Linked DNA regions of Canis lupus familiaris. The protein of the gene in region 1 binds, or shares a complex with, the protein of each later gene. Links are inferred from orthologs where the notes say so. Each region holds a gene or a part of one and is shown in the gene's direction. Other genes may lie near its edges.

What was found.
Region 2: the proteins of KLHL3 (region 1) and WNK3 are in contact, whole or in part, in a crystal structure (PDB 5NKP), measured with the Homo sapiens proteins. The link is inferred for Canis lupus familiaris from reciprocal best matches to the Homo sapiens genes KLHL3 and WNK3. Residues at the interface, in NP_059111.2 of Homo sapiens: Lys312, Arg339, Phe355, Gly357, Arg360, Thr386, Phe402, Gly404, Ser405, Gly407, Ser432, Ser433, Tyr449, Gly451, Arg454, Cys456, Ser481, His498, Arg528, Tyr577; in NP_065973.2 of Homo sapiens: Glu537, Cys538, Glu539, Glu540, Thr541, Glu542, Val543, Asp544, Gln545, His546.
Region 3: the proteins of KLHL3 (region 1) and WNK4 are in contact, whole or in part, in a crystal structure (PDB 4CH9), measured with the Homo sapiens proteins. The link is inferred for Canis lupus familiaris from reciprocal best matches to the Homo sapiens genes KLHL3 and WNK4. Residues at the interface, in NP_059111.2 of Homo sapiens: Arg339, Phe355, Gly357, Ser358, Leu359, Arg360, Thr386, Phe402, Gly404, Gly407, Ser432, Tyr449, Gly451, Ser481, His498, Arg528, Tyr577; in NP_115763.2 of Homo sapiens: Glu557, Pro558, Glu559, Glu560, Pro561, Glu562, Ala563, Asp564, Gln565.
Region 4: the proteins of KLHL3 (region 1) and CUL3 are in contact, whole or in part, in a crystal structure (PDB 4HXI), measured with the Homo sapiens proteins. The link is inferred for Canis lupus familiaris from reciprocal best matches to the Homo sapiens genes KLHL3 and CUL3. Residues at the interface, in NP_059111.2 of Homo sapiens: Pro73, Tyr74, Ala77, Met78, Asp82, Met83, Ser84, Glu85, Glu92, Ile93, Lys94, Asp95, Pro125, Ser128, Leu129, Gln131, Met133, Arg136, Asp160, Val161, His162, Thr163, Thr165; in NP_003581.1 of Homo sapiens: Ile44, Asn49, Ser50, Gly51, Leu52, Ser53, Phe54, Glu55, Leu57, Tyr58, Arg59, Tyr62, Thr63, Leu66, Lys68, Met118, Asp121, Ile122, Met124, Tyr125, Arg128, Val129, Gln133.

What each region holds. Positions count from the first base shown.
Region 1 is NC_049232.1:25,382,967-25,388,120, reverse strand, and holds part of KLHL3 (kelch-like protein 3), read left to right. Parts: intron 1-483; coding exon 484-601; intron 602-1,012; coding exon 1,013-1,210; intron 1,211-2,683; coding exon 2,684-2,785; intron 2,786-3,145; coding exon of another isoform or gene 3,146-3,267; exon of another isoform or gene 3,268-5,154. UniProt on the Homo sapiens protein: Substrate-specific adapter of a BCR (BTB-CUL3-RBX1) E3 ubiquitin ligase complex that acts as a regulator of ion transport in the distal nephron.
Region 2 is NC_049260.1:46,311,361-46,316,514, reverse strand, and holds part of WNK3 (serine/threonine-protein kinase WNK3), read left to right. Parts: intron 1-2,411; coding exon 2,412-2,502; intron 2,503-3,043; coding exon 3,044-3,174; intron 3,175-3,683; coding exon 3,684-4,306; intron 4,307-5,154.
Region 3 is NC_049230.1:20,109,115-20,114,701, reverse strand, and holds the start of WNK4 (serine/threonine-protein kinase WNK4), read left to right. Parts: upstream 1-1,263; 5' UTR 1,264-1,370; coding exon 1,371-2,000; intron 2,001-2,654; exon of another isoform or gene 2,655-2,782; intron 2,783-3,440; coding exon 3,441-3,613; intron 3,614-4,785; coding exon 4,786-5,006; intron 5,007-5,368; coding exon 5,369-5,526; intron 5,527-5,587. UniProt on the Homo sapiens protein: Serine/threonine-protein kinase component of the WNK4-SPAK/OSR1 kinase cascade, which acts as a key regulator of ion transport in the distal nephron and blood pressure.
Region 4 is NC_049246.1:38,008,418-38,014,278, reverse strand, and holds the start of CUL3 (cullin-3), read left to right. Parts: upstream 1-2,169; 5' UTR 2,170-2,184; coding exon 2,185-2,256; exon of another isoform or gene 2,257-2,425; intron 2,426-2,436; exon of another isoform or gene 2,437-2,457; intron 2,458-5,861. UniProt on the Homo sapiens protein: Core component of multiple cullin-RING-based BCR (BTB-CUL3-RBX1) E3 ubiquitin-protein ligase complexes which mediate the ubiquitination and subsequent proteasomal degradation of target proteins.

The sequences.
Region 1 (5,154 bases):
CTAAACTTCAATGAGTAAGTGCCTGCCCTCTGTAGTTTCTGTAATCAGAAATATTTTTGAAGTAATTTTATCCTAAAAATGCAACCAAGTTGCACTCTATTCCAAAATATATTCAAATTTTGATATATGTTTTGTGATATTTTGTTTTGATGCAAAATTTCGTTTCCCTCGCCGAAATCCTTGAGGGCATTGTGATCATAGAACAAGCCCTGAGTGGCTACATGTACCACCAGCACAGCCCTGAGCACAAGGATTTGGAAGTGTAGTTCTCATGATGGTGTTTCTTCATATGATGTTATTGTTAGATTTTTCTTGAATTGTCCTATTTGTTGGTGACTTAGGACAGCATCTCCAAATGTGTAACTCTGTACCCTGGATGGCCCGTGGACCCTGGGCAGCTGGCATGCGGAAGTACCAGGGATTGATCATGTGTGAATCCATTAGCTGGGCAGACCCAGCTAATGTCTGTTTGTCTTTCTGGAGGTCATGATTGTGGTTGGTGGCCAGGCCCCCAAGGCGATCCGCAGCGTGGAATGTTACGATTTCGAAGAGGACCGGTGGGACCAGATTGCTGAGCTTCCCTCCAGGAGATGCAGAGCAGGTGAGTAGCACCATCTGTCATTGTGCAGCTTGCTTTCCCCAGCTTGTCTCTGCTTACTGCCAGAAGTCCTCCACTGCTCCTTGTTTCCACAAACATCTGTGCATTATAGACTCTCTTCCTCTTCCTTCCCCACTTGCCCAGTTTCTGGCTGCCCCTTCTGGGGTCGGTTCTTATGTGCTTTGGGACTTCAGGCTGGTACAAGTATTTGCTTGAATCAAACAACATTGGAAAAGCATATATGAATGGAAATCCAGAGAGTCCATAATGGCTTCCAGTTCTATAAAGTTGGAGATCACTTTCTGTGGTGAATTATTCATGTGATTGCCCGGCTCCCCAATGTCACTCATTGTCACCACATGAGTGATCAGCCGCCTGAGATGACCTCGATGCCTTGGTTTTCCTGTGCCTCAGGTGTGGTGTTCATGGCTGGTCACGTGTATGCTGTGGGCGGGTTTAACGGCTCACTGCGCGTGCGGACAGTGGACGTATATGATGGTGTGAAGGACCAGTGGACGTCCATCGCCAGCATGCAGGAGCGCCGGAGCACTCTGGGTGCGGCCGTGCTCAATGACCTCCTCTACGCCGTGGGGGGCTTTGATGGCAGTACTGGTAGGTCTGGGATGTGGTCTCCATTCCTCCCGGCCTGGGACATGCCCTCAGGGCAACCCTGGTTTGCTCAGCCAGTTCTTGGGCCAATGTTCTGTCCATCCAGAACTACTTCCTCAGCAGCATACTCATCCTTCCTCATCTCCTACCTTGCTTGCCAGAGGCAGGCTTTCCTGCACACAGACTATGTAACTGCCCACATGCTATCATTTCTAGGACTCTAGGAAGGATTCTGCACTCAGAAGAGAACATATTCTCCTTGCTATTGTTTGGGAACCTATTTTTTTCAAAAACTGAGACTTAGCATGTTTAGCTGCAGGGCATCTTAGGATTGTCCAAACCTTCTGCTGGACGAACAAAGGAGCTGGAGTTCAACCATGGGAGAAACCTGACTCAGGCGCATGCCATCTTTGTCCATTGCCCTTTCCCTGCCCCATGAAGCTTTGCCAGGCTGTGCCACAGCAGGAACATCCACTTGCTCCTGGCTTCTGTGTCACTTCAGAGTTCAAATCAGAAACTATGAATAGATGTGGACTTGGAGAGATGATCACATTTCTCATCTACCTCTAGGTGGTACTCTCTGTAGACAGTAGCTCTGGTACACTGAAATGCCCCCAGGGATGTAAAAAACAGGATTTTTTACTTCATTGAATTTTCATTTGTGTCTTTACCACTTGATAACCTTTCCCAGTCTTCTCTTTGCCTCACTCATAAACCTCCAGGGTCTACAGCCCCTCCAGGGGCTTCCACTAATGGATAGGACCTGAGAATAAAGAGAAAAAAAGGGAATGGAGCATTGTTTCTTTAAGAAGTTGCTGTCAGCTGTAAGTAGAAAGTTCTACTATATGGTGGCTTATGCAATTGAGAAATACTGTTCTACCCATGAAACAGGGACTCTGGAAGTTGGTAGTTGCTCACTTCATCCACTTGATCAAGAATATTGTGGCCAAGCTCTTTAAACGTCTCTTGGCTATGTTCTCCTAATCATAAGATGTCTGTGGTAGCTTAAGCCAGCACATTTGTGTTCCAGGTGGCAACAGCAGGTTGGTGTTGGCACCTGTATCAGAAAAACAAATGCTATTTCAGAAATGCCCATCAGACTTCCACTTAGGCCTCATTGACTGGGTCACCCCTAGGGTGGGAAGGTAAGTGTTCAGCTTCTCATGTAAAGGAAGAGAAGGCAAAAGGTGTTAGGTGAGGCAACCACAGGTTTTTTCCCCTATTCTGTAGGTGTAACGGTTAACATTTGCAGGGCAGTTCAGTTGTATCCCTGTGTCCTCTCATGACCTGCCCTGAGTCAGGCCTTGGTGCACCTCCCATGCAGATGTGCTTTAGGGAGCTGCCCTAGGCCACACAGCAAAGTAGAGGTGGTGCTCAGCCATACATGCAGGTCTCTGACCCTCTCCCCAGCTTTTCTTGGGCACACTGGGTGAGGCCTCACACTGTAGGCAATCTCATGAGTCTCTTGTCTCCCAGGCCTAGCATCCGTGGAAGCCTACAGTTACAAGACCAATGAGTGGTTCTTCGTGGCTCCGATGAACACACGGCGGAGCAGCGTGGGTGTGGGCGTTGTGGAGGGTAAGAACAAAAGTGCGTGGTGCCCTATCTGTGCCCCAGTCCGCAGGTCTTGTCCTCATGCCCTGGCTCTAGTCCTCCCATCACAGCTCTGAGTCAGGTACTAGTCTCCTGACGGAACAGGTGAGGAAAGTTGAGGTGCAGCTACTGGCTCGAGGCTAGCGGGTGGCCTGCTGTGTTGGGAAGAGTAAGAGAAGCCTAAGAGGAAACACCGGCCTGTTCCTTTGGCCACTTGTCAACAGTTCTCTTACAGGTTGAAGACTCAGGGTCAACATATAACTGAGGAGCATAATGTGATGGGGGGTAAGAATCATTTCATTTAATTAATTTTATTTTCCTATTCCTATGTTGACACATTAACAGAGCCTAGGGTGAAGTGGGCATTTCCTTCCTGGTCTGATTACTGTCACGGCAGGACAGGTTGGTCACAGAGTCCTGCTCTTGTTAGGAAGGGTGTGTGGGGTGAGGCAGGTGGGAGTGATTAGGTCTGGGGCTCAGTTAGACTGTAGTTTATAAATGGCTCCTTTATATACAAATTTTGTTCCCAAAATCCTTTTGAAGAAGATAGGCAAAGCTTACATTTTCTCCATTCTCCACATGCGGAAGTAGAATGCCAGAGAGGCAAGTGATGTGCTCATTCATAAATAGCACAGCCAGTCCTGGAGCCTGGGTCTTCTGACTCCAAACTCACTGCTCTTTCTATCGTGCTACACTCTTTCAGACCATTAGCAAATGCTATCAGGGAGTCTTATAAATATGTGTAAATTCAATGTATTAAAGCACAGAGTATGATTTGGACTAAAATGTCCTACTTTGTAGGACAACACTGTCTCTCTGCTTTTCATGTGCACCCCAAGAACACCCTTACTTGCTTTGGGGAAAGTTTGATATGCAGTGATTAGACAGTAATAGAAATATTCTTTTCTCTCACTGCATTTCTTGTTTTGTACCAGTATTGTGTAAATTTCCATTTAAAAGTACATTATTCTAACATACTAAACAAGTCATCCTGGTGAGTGCAAGGATTCCATCCTCCTATCAAGATAAATTGTTTTTTTGCAATCTCATCCTCCTGGTGGAACAGAAATTGATTTGTCTGCCAAACGTAAGTGCTTTGTCTAGCCACCTTCCCACTTCCCCCCTTGTTCCTTAGCCAGGAATATCAAACAATAGAGGAGGGGTTAAAAATAGCAAGTCCCTGTTAATAGACTCCAGGAGAAACCTTGAGTGGGTATTTTTTCAGCTGATACAAGGTTGAGATGGTTGGCGGGGGTTAGAGAAGTTGCCTTCATGGTAGTGATTTTAAATCCTCTCCTTAATGCTTTTGGGAGCATCTTGTGTGTGTGGAAGGAGTGCTGTATTGTAGCATGCCTTTTGACACAGAGGACAGCCTGGGAACATGTTGATCATGTGTATCCTAAATTTGAAGCCCTTTGGCTCTGGGTCATCCTGGGACAAGCAGAGGGTCCTCCTCACAACTCCAGTGAGAATGTTTCAGGGGCATCTTACAGGGCTTCTGCTTCACTCTGGCCTTATAAGTACAGCTCTCCACGTTTCACCGTGCTCTCCTCCCTCTCCCTGTCTCCTACTGTGGCTGCCTGGTCTGAATGACACTGGGGTTGCCCTTGGGAGCTTCTCCTCTCCTCCACATCCCAAGCCTTCCTCTTTCCCAAGTGACTTAGGCTTTGGTGAGTGGTGGGCAGCTGGGAGGGCAGGTGGTTGTGTCTTGGCCAGCACACCCCATAGAAGCAGCCTGGACTCTAGAAGAGCTTCTGGGTCAGGAATTTCTCCTGTGGCTTAGGTGAGGATGGAACTGGAAAGGAGGTGTCCCTTTCTTTTAGAAGGTCCACTGGAATGGATTCTGGGGCAGAAAACAAAACCAACCTCAGTGGTAGAAGAAGAAAGAATTTTACATTTGATACAGCAATAGTTGTGATGGTACAGTGCATTTTTGAGCCTCTAAATTAAAATAATTGCCCACTTCCAAATAATGTTTGTACTTTTGTTATTTCTCCCTTAGGAAAGCACATAGTGACAAAAAAATCTCTTTTAATTAGTAACTCTATTAAGTGGATTTGCATTGGGCAGTGCTTATTTAGCCTACAGCCAGTGTTTAAGATCTTTATTTTAACTCTCTTGTTCCCCATCAGTCTGTAGCCCACAGGTGAGGTAGGACTGCCCTTGCCCACCTCCCGCACCCCCCTCCCCCCCCGCCCCAATGTGGGGGAGGCAGGAGTGGGAGAGAAGAGACCCTCCATGCTTGAATCTCTGCTCTGGGAGCGCTCTAATGCCAACTTCCTGCCCCTTATCCAACCTTATGCCTGACCCCAGGCAGAAATGATGCTTTTGGATAGCAACTTATGGTATTTTTA
Region 2 (5,154 bases), on another chromosome or scaffold:
CCCTTTCCCCCCCTGAAATGCTTCTATGAGTAATATTTTTAGGTATGTTGTATGGGTGACTATTTTTTTAAAGTCCAAAAATGCCTTTTGTTTGTTTCACACTTGATTAAGTATACGTGGCAGGGTCATTTTGAGTTAGTTTTTATATATATATATTGTGTGAAATAAGAGTTCACCTTATTCTTTTGCATCTGACTGTCTAGTTGTTCCAGCACCATTGTTATTCTTTGTTGTTATTATAAATGGAATTGTTTTCTTAATTTCCTTTTCAGATTTTTCATTGCTATTGTATAAAGTATAACCAATTTTGAAGTGTTGATTTTGTATCCTTCAATTTTGCTGAATTTGTGTATTATTTAGGATTATATGTATAATACATAAGATCATATTGTCTGCAAAAAGAGATAGTTTATTTCTTCACTTCCTTATCTATTAACTTTTCATTGCATGCTTTCCATCTCTTTGTCCTTCTGCTTTTTGTAGAGAATTTCTCAATTTTTAAGCTGTTTCCAATTTCCTGTTCAGCTATTTTTTATGTCAAGGATTCTATTTTTGTTTTTTCATTTTTATTATTTTTACTTTTATCATTTTTTAAGAAAGGGGCAGGGAGAAGGGCAGAGGGAGAGGGAGAAGCTCAAGCAGGCTCCACACCCAGCCTGGAGCCCAATGCAGGATGCGATCTCACAACCCTGAGATCATGATCTGAGCCAAAATCAGGAGTTGGACACCTAACCCACTGAGCCACCCAGGCACCCTAAGGATTACATTTTTATTTTTTTTATTTATTTATTTATTTATTTTTTTAATTTTTTAAATTTTTATTTATTTATGATAGTCACAGAGAGAGAGAGAGAGAGAGAGAGAGGCAGAGACACAGGCAGAGGGAGAAGCAGGCTCCATGCACCGGGAGCCTGACGTGGGATTCGATCCCGGGTCTCCAGGATCGCGCCCTGGGCCAAAGGCAGGCGCTAAACCACTGCGCCACCCAGGGATCCCAGGATTACATTTTTAATTTCCAGTAACTATAGTTCATTATTTTTCTTATGTTTGTATTATCTTCACACATTTTTCTAGAGATTAATTAAAGTCTTATTCTGTGTTATTGGCTATTCTTCTTGTTGTTGAATTTAGTGCTTGCTTTCTTTTTAAAAATTTTTATTTACTTACTTTTTATGCAGGCTCCACACGCAGTGTGGACTCACAATCCTGAGATCAAGAGTCATATGCTCCACTGACTGAACTAGCCAGGTGCCCCTAGTATTTTCTTATAGTATCAATTTCCCACATTTGATGATTCTTAGTTGTGTACTCTTCTTTTTCCCCTGTTAAGATTCTTTGTTTGTCTCTCTAAATGCTATATATAATTATTGTAGCCTTCCTCTGGTAATTGTGGGAAAGGCATGGGACATGTTTTTTGGCTCTGAATATTATAATTTTTCTCCAAATGCTGCCAGGAGGGTGGCTTAATAGTCTTCAAAGATAGAAGTGCTTTTCCTTCCTTGTGGAAGTTGTCTCCTTCCTACATTGCTGATTTGGCCACATTTTCCTCTCACCACTCTTATTTGGGAGCAGATGCCCCTGCTGTCTTTTGCTTGTAGAGATAGGGAGGGAAAGAACTGCATTATCTATTCTTTCTGTGGTACGCCAACCAGTTTACTCTCCCATTCAGTGAGTAAGTCAGGATCTCTTTTTGTGGAGCTCAAATTCTAGTTTCATGTTTCTCAAAAGTGAGTATTTTTTGTATTAATTATTATGGAGGATTTATTATTAAAGTACTCAGAATACAGCAGTTAATTCTGACATGTTGGGAGAGGTAGGAAGACAAGAAGAGGAGAGTGATTTTATAGCCAACTATGGCCTGATGTTAACAATTTTTAGAGCAAGAATTTGAAATAATTTTGAGGCCCATTGTAAATTTCTGTGTGCTTACATAAAGTAAGAAATTCAATTTGGTAAGATTTCTCTACAAATCTAAATGCCTAGATATCTTGTTTTTCTATGTTATCATGTGTATTAGGCATCTTTAACTCTCACAAATATGAGCATAAATGAAAGTTTCATTTTAAGAGCATAGGGTTTCAGTAACCATTTTTATTAAATGAAGTTTATGAAGGAAATAACTTAAATTTTAATCTTCAGTTTTCAAAGTTGCTATAATGGAAAATATTCTAGGGTGGAAGATTAATATTCTGCTCTTTATTTATCTGAAGTTCAGATAATATTTTTAAAGAAAAGGAAAGGATTAATTCCTAGAAGTTGACTATTTCAGATGCACTCTGATATGTAAATATATATAGCATTTTATTTATGCTTACTCATTAGTCCATGCAAGAAACTCCAGTGGTGTACACAACTGCTTCACCTTATACAAATTATTACCATTTTGGTTTTTCTCTTTTTGTCTCCATTAGGAGATGTCTCCAGATGCTTCACTTCCAGGAGATCCAGAGGCCTATCCTGCTGCTGTGTCAAGCGGTGGAGCCATTCATCTGCAGACAGGAGGTGGATATTTTGGCCTAAGCTTTACTTGTCCTAGTCTCAAAAATCCTATTAGCAAGAAATCCTGGACTCGCAAATTAAAAAGCTGGGCATACAGGCTACGGCAGTCAACCAGCTTTTTCAAGAGATCAAAAGTCCGTCAAGGTAGTGTGCTTACAGTCAGGGACATAGACTAGGTAACATCACTTTTCATTTACTTCTTTTTTTTGTTGTTGTTTGTTTGTTCATATACAGATCTTAACCACTTTTTCCACATAGCCCATGTATGTGACATGTCCCATTAATGTCATTGCCATTTTCCTTTTGTAACTAATTTGATTTTATAGTTACTCATTTCATGTAGATACTAAGTCTCGGGATAAGTCTTACAATGTCTGATTTTGAGTTAGGGACTTCTACAATGTTGCTTATTACATTAACACTTTTTAATTATCTAGCAGGGTTAAGCTTTTTCTACATTTCTTCATTTTTTTGGTAATATAAACAAATTTAGTCTTAACAAACAATTTTCTCTTTTCTGCTTACAATTGCATAAAACTTGCAGTGGAAACAGAAGATAGGAGATCAGCAGTTGGTCCTGATCCCATTCCTCTGACAGGAGAGTCCACAGCTGATACTAGGGCTTTGAGTAGATGTAAAGCAATGAGTGGATCATTTCAGCGGGGTCGATTCCAGGTTTGTGTCTTTGGTTGAATCTTTATCTACACGGGCATTGAAGATCTTGGTATTTAGAGGATATTTATCTTAGATGTAGATTATTGTCATATTTAATTTTTTCCCCTTATACACAGCCCGTTACCTTTCGTAGCCTTCCAGTAAAGGCAAGTCTAAAGAAGTAATTTTAGTAGCTGGAAAAGAGCACAGAAATGAGTTACCATTTTTCAGTGGGTGGTTGGATCATCTTTTTTATAAATCTATTTCTTGTCCTTTAGAATCTCAGCAACTTGAATTATCAAAAATTTTAAATTGTAGTATTTTATTTGAGTAACATGAAGCCCACTCTCTTTACCCAAGGAGCCCGAGTGAAAGACTTTGAAAATGGGAATTATAGATGGGATTTTAAGTTTGGATATTATCAATGTGTGTACATCCACTTGTCTGTGCCATATTTTGATATTGAATTTCTTTGTGGGTTTACTCTTTGGTTAGACAGAACCAGCCACTTTTGCCTTTTTGTTTCTCAGGTGATTACAGTTCCTCAGCAACAGTCAGTGAAAGTGACATCTTTTGGAATAGAACGCACACCAGCATTCAATAAACTGACAACTCATTCTAGTGAAGAAGTTTTAGCCTTTACGGACATGGCAAAGTCTCAGTTAGTGGAAATGGAACCTGCCACACACAATCCACAAACTTCACTTCCTTCTCAGAAGTTACGAGTTCTTCATGAAACCTTTAAAGAAGATAAAAAAATTCTCAAACAAGGTGACAACCTCACATCTTTCAGCACAGCTCATGAAGCTGATGTATCTTCAATGACCCCAGAAAAAGAATTGGGGGAAAACTCAGCCACGGAAAGTAGTGTGCATTCTGGACTTGAATTGTTGCTTAAAGAGAGAGAGATACTTATTGCTGGGAAACAGCCAAGCTCTGATAGTGAATTTTCAGCCACTCTTGCTGTCAGAGGGAAGTCAGTGGCAAACACTGGTCCAGAGAGTGGTCAGTGCTTACCACTCCGTGAAGAAAAAGCCTGTGCTCAAATACAGAGCTCACTCTTCTATTCGCCATCTTCTCCAATGAGCAGTGATGATGAGTCAGAAATAGAGGATGAGGATTTGAAGGCAGAGCTTCAAAGATTACGAGAAAAGTAAGATTGTTTCTCTCTCTCTCTCTCTCTTTTTTTTTTGATTGTTTCTCTTTTATCACAAATCTGCCTGGAGTTTTATAGAATTAAGTATTTGATAGCTAATTTACAATTGGTGACATTTAAAAAAATATTTATTTACTTATTTGAGAGAGAGGGAGAGTGAGCAGGGAAGGGACAGAGGGGAAAGAATCTCAAGCAGACTCCGTGCTGAAAGTGGAGCCCAGAACAGGGCTCTAACTCAAAACCTTGAGATCATGACCTGAACCAGAGCCAAAAGTCAGACACTTAACTGACTGAACCACCCAGGTGCCCCACAATTGGTGACATTTTAATGATTGGGAATTTTTGATGATTGAAAACTACAAAGATAGCATCGGATCTACAGGTTAAGGTCTCAGTTCCACAGATGCCAATCATAAGTCCAGGTAGTACTACGTATGCTTCTGACCAACCTGTTGTAAATCAAAGGTTCCTACAAGCTCTTCCTTGGGTTCAGTTATTTACTAGAACAGCTTACAGAACTCAGAAAGAACAGTTTACTTACTAGATCATCAGTTTATTATAAAAGGACACAACTGAGGAACAACCAGATGGCAAGATATAGGGGAAGGGGCATGGAGCTTCCATGCCCTCTTGGGAGTGCCACTCTCCCAGCTTTCATTTATTTACCAACCTGGAAGCTCCCCAAACCCTATAGTTAAGGGATTTTTATGGAAGCTTCATTATAGTAGGTATTATTGATTTAAATTAATGGCCATTGGTGATTAATTGAATCTCTACCTTCTAACCCCTCCCCAGAGGGATAGTGGGAGGGGCTGAAAGTCCCTCTCCCTAATCACTTGGTTGGG
Region 3 (5,587 bases), on another chromosome or scaffold:
GGTCTGTAAACCTTTAACTTCACATGTGTTCACATACGTAAGTACATACACGCGCCTGCACAAGCTTTTGTCTCTCCCCTTTCCCACCCCTTTAGCTGCTATTGCCTCACCTCTCAGGCTGGTGCTGGATCCTTCCTAAGGGGTGAGAGAAGCCCTGGCTGCAGGCAGCCTTCCAGGCAATATGAAAATAGGAGGCCCAGGAAGGGGCCTGGCGTTGAGGCTGGGCTGGACACTGATTTATGATATTAAAAAGCTCAACCCCACTTGTCTGCCTGACGTTGGAAGTTACTACTGGAATGGTCATGAGGAGGGCTGTGAAGCATTGCCCCTTGAATGAATCCCAGCCTAGGAAAGAGGAGAGGCCTACGGCCTTTGTAGATGAAAAGGTCCTCCAGTGCTGGCAGGCTCCAGTGAGCCTGTGGTTTTACATCTGCTGGGTGGGCTGTGTGGGGGAGTGCTGATGGAACACAGCTTGGGGACAAACTGCTTTCTTTCTCTGAATTAGAGTGACTTAATGGCTTCTCATTTCCTCACGGTCTCCCCCATGAAAGTCCTGAACCACTCTGAAGCCCCTCCCTCCATCCCTCTGGTCTGGGTGGGGTAGTTGAGGCCAAGGGGAGCTGAAGGGGTGTAAACCGGATATGGACTTTGGTTTATTGGGAACTTTGGCAAACAGAAGGAGGAGGAAGGAGAGCCCACATAGCAAAAACAGCTACTGTGGCCAGGGCCAGGCTGCGGCCAAGGTAGGGAGGTGGAGGGGATGGGTGACCGGGTCCTTGGCTTGGGGGAGGGGCTTTCCCTGGGGTGCACACACCCATCCCTGTGCAGTTCAGAGGGACAGCGGCTTGGGAGAAAACCAGACCTTTCCACTGACCTCTGTATTGTCGGCCTGGGGCTACCTTATCTGGGGAGTGCAGGCGGGTGGTAACCTTCCCTTAACCACCCCCCTTTCTAGAGCCCGAGAGCATTGGTCATGTTTCCTCTCCCAGCCCCAGCATTAAGCCTCCACCACCCGCCCCCAAACAGGTTTGCGCACTCTTGTTGCGGGAGGGCACGCTGCCGTCTAGCACCCGGTCCACCTCGGAATGATCCCGCAGGCGGGTGCGCCCGGAGGCGAGGGAGAGGAGGGCCTGCGGCCGGGGGCGGGGCTGCTGAGGTGAGGGGCTGCTCCGCCGCTGGCCGCTCCGAGGGGGCGGCCCTGGGGGGTGAGGCCGGGGGCGGGGCCGGGGGCGGGGCCGGGGGTTAGGCGAGCCGGGGACTGGGGCCCCAGGAGCTCAGCCGGAGCGCTGCGCACCCAGCCAATCCTTGCCTGTCAGGCCGCCTCCTCTCCAGCAGCCCGGCTTGCTGCCTTGCGGCGCCGGCCCTTCCTCATGCTGGCACCCCCGACCTCCGAGACTGCAGTCCCCATGTCCCAGGCGGAGGCCGACCTGGGCCTGCGGCCCCCGCCGCCTCTCGCCGCCGCCGCCGCCGCCGCCGCCGGTCCGCCCCGCCTCGGGCCCCCTCCTCGCCGGGCGCGCCGCTTCTCCGGGAAGGCTGAGCCCCGGCCGCGCTCTTCCCGTCTCAGCCGCCGAAGCTCCGTCGACTTGGGACTGCTGAGCTTGTGGTCCCAGCCAGCTTCACCCGTTCCGGAGCCCCCTGATCCTCCGGACTCCGCTGGTGCCGGCCCCGCGAGGAGCCCACCGCCTAGCCGTCCAGAGCCCCCCGAGGGCACGTGGACTGGGGGAGCCCCGGTGAAGGCTGCAGACTCCACGCGTCCAGAGCTCCCGGGCTCCACAGGGGGCCCCGGGGGCCGGGATCCGCAGACTGCCCCCGAAGCTGCGGCTCGGGAGCGGCAGCGGGAGCAGGAGGAAAAGGAGGACACGGAGACCCAGGCAGTGGCAACATCCCCGGATGGCCGATACCTCAAGTTTGACATCGAGATTGGACGTGGCTCGTTCAAGACGGTGTATCGAGGGCTGGACACTGACACCACGGTGGAGGTGGCCTGGTGTGAGCTGCAGGTGTGGCTGGGCGCCCCCTCTGTGGCATCTTGGGATGGGACCCTTTAGAGGTTTTGGGATGAGAAACCTAGGGGACAGCAGCAAGGGAGAGATCTGTCTTTTCAGTCAAATGTCCGAACACTCCTGCCTGCACCCCCTTGGTCTGATGATCTATGGATCTGGCTGATTCTGGGCTGCAGAAGGATAAACTGAGACAGAGGGTGGCTCCCCTATGGGTTTTGGACATTCTAACTTTAAAGTCTCTATACTCAACCCTGAGAGGTGGAAGATAGAATGCAAAATCAGATAGGGAGCCAGTTCAGATCTAAGGTGTGACTGGCCTCACCAATCTCCTCCTATTGTCTCTTCCTTTCCCTTTCCTCTTAGTCCTGAGACCCTCGGTGTGTCCCTGGTCATCCTCCTCCTTCACCCCAGATCTCTGAAGAGTAAGAGGCTGGGATGATGGAGGCCAGGAGTTGCGGCAGGATCCTCTCCATTTCCAGCAGATTTAGAGTGGTGGTGGCAGGATGGGGCCCACCCAGGCCCCTTCTGGAGCATCAGACTTATAGACAGACTTCCACACAACTGGAGGCGGGCGAGATAGAGAGCTCCAGCCCTGGTCTGAGTCCAGTCCTGCTCCTCATCTCACTGTGTACTTGGGCTCTCCCTTCCCAGACCCAAAAGCACTGAACCCAGTGGGTTTTAGGAGGATGTTGGTGGGAAGGACCTTCCTCTCACGGAGGGAAGAACCCAGTTAAGTCTGGGCCAGCAGCTTTGGATTCAAACCGGGGAGCAGAGCCTGGGTAAGGGTCCTCCCCTCCAGCTCTGGCACTGGGCTCTCCCCTTGCGCCTGCCAGTGCCGCGCCCCAGGCTCTAGGCCAGGCAAGGAGAGGCAGCCAAATGAGGGGGGTTGGGGGGAGGTGGGGGGGGCAGGACAGCCAAGGGGCAGGGGGCAGTCTCCTGGTGCCTGGTCCTGGATCGTTCTCTTTCTCTGTAACTCCCTTTGCAGCCCTCCTGCCTCCTGTCTGGATCTAGCAGTTCTCGGTTTCTGGGGCCAACCCCCTTGAAGGCCCCAATTCTCTGCCTGCTGTCAGCCTGCTGCCTGCCTGCTGCCTGCCCATTGCCAGCCCCGGGGCGTCCCCTCCCGCCCCACGGCTGGCCCAGGAGGCTACAAAGGCGCTATTGAGCTCAGGGCTCCTGGACGGGGCTGCATAAAGGCCCTTGTGTCCAGCAGGGGGTCCAGGGGTGGCCCCAGGCCCAGGATGGGCGTGTCCCTGCAGCAGCCTGAGGGGGCGGATCAGGAATTAGGGGCATACAGCCCCTTGGGCAAGTGATGACCTAACCTGGTCTGTGGGCTCCAACCCTTACCTCTCACCCAGCTGCTCCCTCCATGTGCCCCTTCCTCCTCTCTATGGGGTCCTGGACCCGACATGACCTTGACCCCCATCCCCTACCCCACAGACTCGGAAACTGTCTCGAACCGAGCGGCAGCGATTCTCTGAGGAAGTGGAGATGCTCAAGGGGCTGCAGCACCCCAACATCGTCCGCTTCTACGACTCGTGGAAGTCAGTGCTGAGGGGCCAGGTTTGCATTGTGCTGGTCACCGAACTCATGACCTCCGGCACCCTCAAGACGTGAGCTCTGTGCCTGGTGGTAGTGTTGGTTGGTGGGAGAGCTGGTAGTGGGAGGTCCCCACTGTTTCTGGAACTTCTCCCAGGCTCCTCAAACTCTAGATTTAGGTCCCAAACCAGGCTTGCTACTTCTCATCCACCCCTACTGCGTCTCTGCCTTCTTGAGTGACAGTGTCCACCCAGCCAAAACTCAGGCATCTCCCCAGATGCCTTTTTTATCTCCACTCTGTGCATCCACCTATCCCTATCAATTTCTCTCCAAGGTTTCCTTATAATTCCCCACTCTGCTTTCCCTGTTCCATCCACTGCCATCTCATTGGTCTAAAACCCTGCAGCAGCCCCCTAATGGGCCTTTTCCCACTCTGCCCTCACCTTTCCAACCTATCCTATCTTCCTGCAGTCGGGGGAATCTCTCTGTTCCTTTTTTTTTTTTTTTTTTTTTTTTTAAGATTTTATTTATTTATTTGAGACACACACAGAGAGAGATAGAGAGAGGCAGAGACACAGGGAGAGGGAGAAGCAGGCTCCATGCAGGGAGCCTGACGTGGAACTTGATCCCGGGTCTCCAGGATCACACCCTGGGCTGCATGCGGCGCTAAACCACTGCGCTACCGGGGCTGCCCTCTCTGTTCCTTAAAACCCCTTCAAGGTTTCCCACCTCCCTCAGGTTAAAGTCCACTCTTCTTAGGATTTAGCCTCATCTTGAACTTGGACTCCACACAGGCGGAATTCCCTGTACCTCCTCCCACCCTGCCCTGCTGCTGTCTCCGTGCCTTTGAGCACAGTGTCCCTGCCGCCTGGAAAGTCTCCATCCCTTCCCCTTTTCACCCTTGAACCCCTACTCATCCTTCAAGATGCAACATAAAAGTTATTTCCTCTCTGAAGCCCTCCCCCCACGCCCAGAGCAATTAGTCATCCCTTTCCTTGCTCCCACAGCCCCCAGGAACGGCCCTATCTGCAAGTTTCCCGCCCAACCCGTTTCCTAATCTCACTTCTACCTAGCACACCCCCGACTCAGTTTCTCCCTGGAGCCCGACAGGCAAGCCAGCTAGAAGAATGCTGGCAGAAGATGCGTAGGAGGCGGTGCCAGGGGGACTAGGGGAACTTCCCAGCGAGGGTCCCCTCCCCCGCCTCCGTGTCCCCGCCGCAACCCTGGCTATGTGCCTTTCCTCCAGATACCTGAGGCGGTTCCGCGAGATGAAGCCACGAGTCCTTCAGCGCTGGAGCCGCCAGATCCTCCGGGGTCTTCATTTCCTACACTCCCGGGTACCCCCCATTCTGCACAGGGATCTCAAGTGCGACAACGTCTTTATTACGGGCCCTTCCGGTTCGGTCAAGATTGGGGACCTGGGCCTGGCCACGCTCAAGCGGGCCTCCTTTGCCAAGAGCGTGATCGGTGCGTCTCTCCAGGAGGTCCTTGCTATTCACACCTCCCCCCTCCAGGAGGTCCTTGCTATTCACACCTCCCCCGCGTCAGAAGAGAGCCTGGCAACTCCCCTTCCCAGCAGGTGTCCTTTGAGTTGCACGGAGTTAGAAGAGCAGGGGACTTGGGGAGGCCTATAGCATCTTCTCTCCCCCTTACTGCCCGCTCCCCCCTCCCCCAACACACGCAGTGGGGAAGGGTCTGTCGCTAGCACTCCAGAATGCTCAGGGTTGCCCCTGCCCCCCACCCCCTGACTAGGCAGCGGTGCCCAGGAAGAGGGACGAAGCCCGAGGAGGCTTCTGTAGCTTGATGCCTGCCTGCTGTGGCTCCTACAGGGACCCCTGAGTTCATGGCTCCTGAGATGTACGAGGAAAAGTACGATGAGGCCGTGGACGTGTACGCGTTCGGCATGTGCATGCTGGAGATGGCGACCTCGGAGTACCCTTACTCAGAGTGCCAGAATGCCGCGCAAATCTACCGCAAGGTCACTTCGGTGAGAGGGGGGTGGGGAGGAAAGAGTATTCCAGGTCACCTCTCACTCTCCTGCCCCAACC
Region 4 (5,861 bases), on another chromosome or scaffold:
ATGAATCCAACTAGACCCCTTGACCACAGTGACAAAAACAACTTCCAAAATCACAACAACCTGGGATCAAAGACAGTAATTTCGGCTTCCAAAATCGACAATACTCTTGGTTAATGGCAGAAATGATTCGGCAGGTCAAGGGCAGGTTCCTATCATCCTACCGCTCTATTCTTCACCACCTGCCAAAATACTACATGAAGGGAGTTGTCATTTTATTTCAAGGATGAGAAAGAGGTTTTAACGCTCTGGAGTCCCGGGTTCCCCCAGGAAGGGGCCTGGATGAGCGGCACCCCTCAATCCCGAGGGCGGGGGCGCGCACCCCGTTGGAGCCCCTCGTAGGGCACACAGCACTCACGGCCGCAGGTGACTCCTGCACAAACTCTTCCTTGGACTTTCTGGCTTCCACTCAAACACCCCCCCCAACCCCCCCAGCTCACATGCCCTAGAAACTCGCACAGGAACCAGTTCTAAGACTGCAGCCAACCACCTGGCACCCCTACGCCCCCGCCCCCCCCCGACCCCGGCCCAACCCCGCCCAGCCCACTACCGTCCGGCTCCGGCTCTCAGGACTCGCCCCGCCCCCTCCGCCCACGTGACCGGGACCCCTCCCACCCCGCGCCGCGCTCCACCAATCAGCAACCACCTCCGCGCCGCCGTCGCTCCCCTTTCAAAAAGGCAGCTTTCTCCTCCCGCCTTCAGCCCCGCCCCTCACCCAACCTCCCCGCCCCGCTGGCCACGCCCACTCCCCCAACTCCCCGCTCCCCTCCTCCCCTCCCGCGGACCCCGCCCGCTCTCAGGCTTCGCCCCGCCCCACCCGGGGCAGCGCGCTCGCCCTCGTCTCGCGAGATCTCGGCGTCCCCGCCCCGCCCCGCCGCCGCGGCCGCCCGCCTCCCCCTCCCGTCCTCCCACCCCCTCCCCCCGATCTCTCCACTCTCCGGCTCTCCTCCCTCCCTCCTCCCCCCTCCACCCTCTGGGCCGGATCTCGTCTCGTCGAGGCGGAGGAGGAGAAGGAGGAGGAGGACGTTCGGCCTGCGCAGTGAGATGTTTGTCCGTCGCCGCCGCCGCCGCCATCGCGGAGGAGCGCGATAAAGGGAGCCGAGCCGGGCGTGAGGGGGACCCCGCGGAGGCGCCGCGCCAGCGCAGCCCCCCCAGCCCAGCCCCGCCGCAGCCCGAGCCCGAGCCCGAGCCCGAGCCCGAGCCCGAGCCCGAGCCGCCGGAGCCCGAGCCGCCGCGGCCGCCCAGGGGCCGGCCCGCTCCCCAGCCCAGCCCGGGGGCCGCGCCGCCGCCGCCGCCGCCGCCGCCGCCCCCCAGCGCAGCCCCTCGCCGGCCCGCCCGCCTTAAATGTGACACCGGCGCCTCGGAGTGCGACCCGAAGCCGCCGCCGGGGAGGGGACGAGCACCATGTCGAATCTGAGCAAAGGCACGGGCAGCCGGAAGGACACCAAGATGCGGATCCGGGCCTTTCCGGTGAGTCTCTCCTCGGCGCCTGGGACCCCGGGGCCGGGGGGCCCGGCGGAGAGCCGCACGCGAGGCCCGGGCTGAACTCCCCCAACAGGCCGCAGGCCCGGCCTCCCCTCCCCCACGCCGCCGGCCGCGGGGCGCGAGCCTTCCCGGCCACGGGGCGGGCGGCTCGGGGGCCCCGGCGCCTCAGGCCGGCGCCGCGCACCCGCCCGGGAGCCTCGGGCCGGCGGCGGCGGGCGGGCGGGCGGCGGCTGCTGCGGCTGCGGCGGGGGCCCCTGGGCCGGCCCCTTCCCACGTTCCCGGGGGGTAGGCCCGGCCCCCGGTGCTCCCCTCCCTGCCGGCGCCCCGGGACCACCACACCCGCGGGGACGGGGACTGTGGAAGTCTTCCGTGTGTGGGGGGGCGTGTGTGGAACTTTTCACGTGCGGTCTCAAAAATAACCCGGCCTCAACCAGGGCCCGCCAGACCTTTCGGGGGGTGGAGGGGGCTGTCCTGTGCCTCCGCAGGAAGGGGGCTGGCCGCCCACCTACCCGCCCCCCGACGCAGTGACCGTGGCTCCTTGCACTGCTCGGTAGTAACGCACGCACCTAACCTCGTCAGCTGTATTTATAGCCTCTTTCATCCACAGGCGTCCAAAAGCACTTTACAAACTCTTCTTGTGCAGGAATTGGCCTCGCCACTTGTAGGAGGGTCAAGGGGAAGCCAGAGAACACACGCTGGACAATGGCCTCTCCAGATCTTAGCCGTGGAAGCCCAGCAGGAGGGGGTCGTCACTGCCCCGAGTTGCTCTACGCTGTGGGTTTCAGCGACAGCAAAGGCTGCTCTGTTTAGAAACTTTCTTTTTTAGCGTTACGTTGAGTCATACGCTGGCATTATTTAGTGTAGAGAGTGTAACTTGGGATGCCATACCTGATTCAGATAGCCCATGGCAAGCAATTAAAGTGTACTGTTGTAACAGAAACTGGACGTTCTTGCCTCACGTCGCTACGGTAACAGGTATATGTCAAGAAAGGCAAACCAGCAGTCGAACGGAAGGTTTTGTTTTTTTTGTTTTTTTAAAAAAAAAAAACAACAGTAAAACTGGGGAAAGATCTTGAATGTCTTAGAATCCTACACACGTCATATTTTGGGAAGGGGGAAAAGGTGGGGTTTGTATTCACTGTGGGAAGGCTTGCTTTTTTCTGAAGTGTGATTTGCAGTGAGGGAAGACACTAATGCAGAAGAGAACTAATGAAGTCTGTCAGCATGTTTTCTCTTAACAGTGAAGTGAGCTGGGCTTAGGAATTTTTGAGTAATGTTAGTTTTGCTACTAAAGCAGTTGTGAACATGTTTAGCAGGATTTCGAATTATTAAGAGTTTCAAATAGTTTTCTGTATAACAAGTTTTCTAGGAAAAATTTGCTATTCTTGAAGTCTGAGTTCTTCTAACTCAAACTTACTACTATAATGCGGCATAGCTCACATTTGACATGAACTCACTTTTGTTAATATTGCGATTAACCAGTTGTACCTTTAAGCGTGATTAGCTTTTTCGTCCATTTAGGTTTACCTCTTCCTACCTGGTCTTCATTCCCTCATTCGTTTAATGAAGACTGAGTACTGTGTGCCAGGCACTGTTCTAGGAGCTTGGAGTAAGTCAATACAGCTTGAAGACTAAAGATCCCTTCTTTCTGGATGTTGTATTTATTATTGGGAGAGGCAGGAAAGAATTTCATGATTCCTTTAGCAAAAGAGTATAGTATATGATAGGTTAGCACATAGTCCTGAAACTGATTTTTTTTTTTGTGTGTGTGTGTTAATGATTGTGAGCTAATTTGGATCTTTTCTGTCCACAACTTGTTGCCATCTAAGATTTTCTAATATTCTTTATTGAAGTTTATAAATGACTACTGTTTGATACTCAGTAGTTTAGTACCTGCTAATTTTTAAAAGCATAGTTTTTCAATGTTTCATGATTTATAATATTCGTAACAACTTTCTACTGAAAAGAACCTAGATTTTTTTTTGATTTATAAACTTCTAAGTTACAGTTTCTTGGATAAATGCCTCAGTGGTATGATATTTCACCGACTTACCCTTTGGTAAATGAGTCCTTATAGACCTTCAAAATTTCTCTTTTCTTACAGGTTAGCAGTCTTCTAGTAGTAAATGCATACTGTTCCATAAAGAAAAAATAGCGTTTGTATGTGGTACAGATGTACAATATTTATAGCTATATAGTATTTTGTATTAATCTTTGGACATGCATTGTAGGTACTGTAGTTTAAGAAAATTATAGTTTAACCAAAGGTCTCAGGTGCTCATTTCAGGATTCTGTTTTATAAAATCGACGTGTAAAAAGTGTAAAAATATGTTTTGAGATTGTTTTGTTTTCATTGCAAAACAGAGTGGTAAGTGAACTCACAGGCTATTCTATAAGATGTGTAAGCATATTCCAGATACAGACCCATCAGTAAAATCAGGTTCTTTTAGTGTTTTGAGTACATATTTTAAGTGTTCCTTCATTATTGTTCCCAAGAGTAAGTTATGCCATACCACAGTTTTATCTACAATTTGCATTTTAAGTAGAACTTTTCGTAAGATTTTAAGAGAAATTAGTTCTTTTTTAAGATGGAAAACAGTGAGGACTTTATGGATTCATAAATTGTTGATGGAGTTAAAGTTTATCCCAGCCTGAAAGCTTTCCTACACTGCACAAAATATGTCATTTCACTTTTTTTTTTTGGTACCCAAAATTAACAGCAAGGGGCAAAATTTTTTTTTTAAGGAAGGAAGCTGTAGTTGCGAAACTCTTGGAAGCTATATGGATTTGGATCAGAGTGCTGCCCCAAGAAGTTTCTGCTCTTCTTTCCTTGCTGTTGTTGAATGTCTCACTCCTGAGCTTTTCTTTTGTTCTGCTATGTAGAATTAGTTGCTGTCAGGTGAACCTTTTGTCCTTTATCTTCGAAAAGCCATTCCTCTCCATCTGTACTTTCCACATGGGTTTTGTCCACATGGGCTTGAAAAAACTTGATTGGATTGGAGGGGATATATTTGAATGAAAATGCTCCTCTCTCTTCTGATAGTCCCTTCTTGACTTAGCCTTCAGAGTTTAGAAGTCATATTATGAAAGTGATGGTCTTTAGAAGTGTGTGATCTGGAAGTGGTTTCAGTTATTATAGAGCATAGTCATGATGAAGAATCTCTGGTTGTGATGTCCACTCCATAATCCTAGATTGGCTTCTTGGAGCTCTACCTGTGTAGCATGGACAGTGAGTCATGTAGAGGTTATTGTTAGAGGGAAACCACAGAGTGGATGACAATAGAAGGAGATGAATTTTAAGATCATTTGTGATGTACTTAAGAACACAAGAGTTTAATGGTAATTGGGGACACTTAATTTTGTTTTTCCTAGCTGTGGTAAAATTTGCTAGATTTGGGAAAAAACAGCTTTGATCTTCATAATAGATTTCCTTAGAGAAAGTAACAGTTGCCTAGGATTACCTGGACTATATACAGGAAAGCTGAATAATAGTCTGAATAATAGTCCTGGAAATCAAACAGGGTGGGGAATTAACTATATTTACTTACCATTCTCTAGCATACAGAAACTATGGAGTAAGTTATAAAAGATTCGTTAAAGCGTTGTTTACACTTAGACTGATTTGTTTAGTAGTTTCAGGACATCCAGTTATGTTGTAGCTGTTAGTATGTTTTCAGCTTTAGAAGTTAAAAAACAAAAGCGTAAAGTAGTTACCTATAAGGCATTTGTATTTTGCATTATCTTCCTAGATACTTCAGAGGAGCCTGGAAAATGATTAGTTCCAGTATTGAATTTGAAACTATTTTAAAGTATAGGGTATATTGTAGAATTTGGCCTTTTAAATAAGATTAGTTCATTGAGACAAGATGGAGAAAGCTTTATTTGTACATCATTCATTCATTAAATTTAGCTAAGTAATAACAGCATTTCTCTAATTCATGAAGATAATATAATTAAGACTTTGTATTTTAAATTGCTCCCATCAGATAATTTTTTGCTGTTATTTTCATTGAAAAGTATCTGATATTTGTTAGCAGTTTTGTTAAATTTTTGTAAAAGTTACTGGACAGTTCGTTGTTTCAAATGCAACTCTGAAAATAGATCTCGTTTATTCAAAAATACAGTAAAAAAGTAAAGGTGTTACTAGTAAGCACAAATCACTGAGGTATAATAGGACTTGCAATTAATGTCTGTCAGTGTATTGTGAAAACTATTAAGTTATAATCTGTCAAAGCAATGAATTCATTTTAGTAGATTTTCTAATTATAAAAGTGATGGATATTCATGGTAAAAAACTTAAGTATCTAAATTTATAAATAAAGAAATAAAAATCACCTCTTAACCCTACTGCTTGGGAATAAGCAACATTTACATTTTGA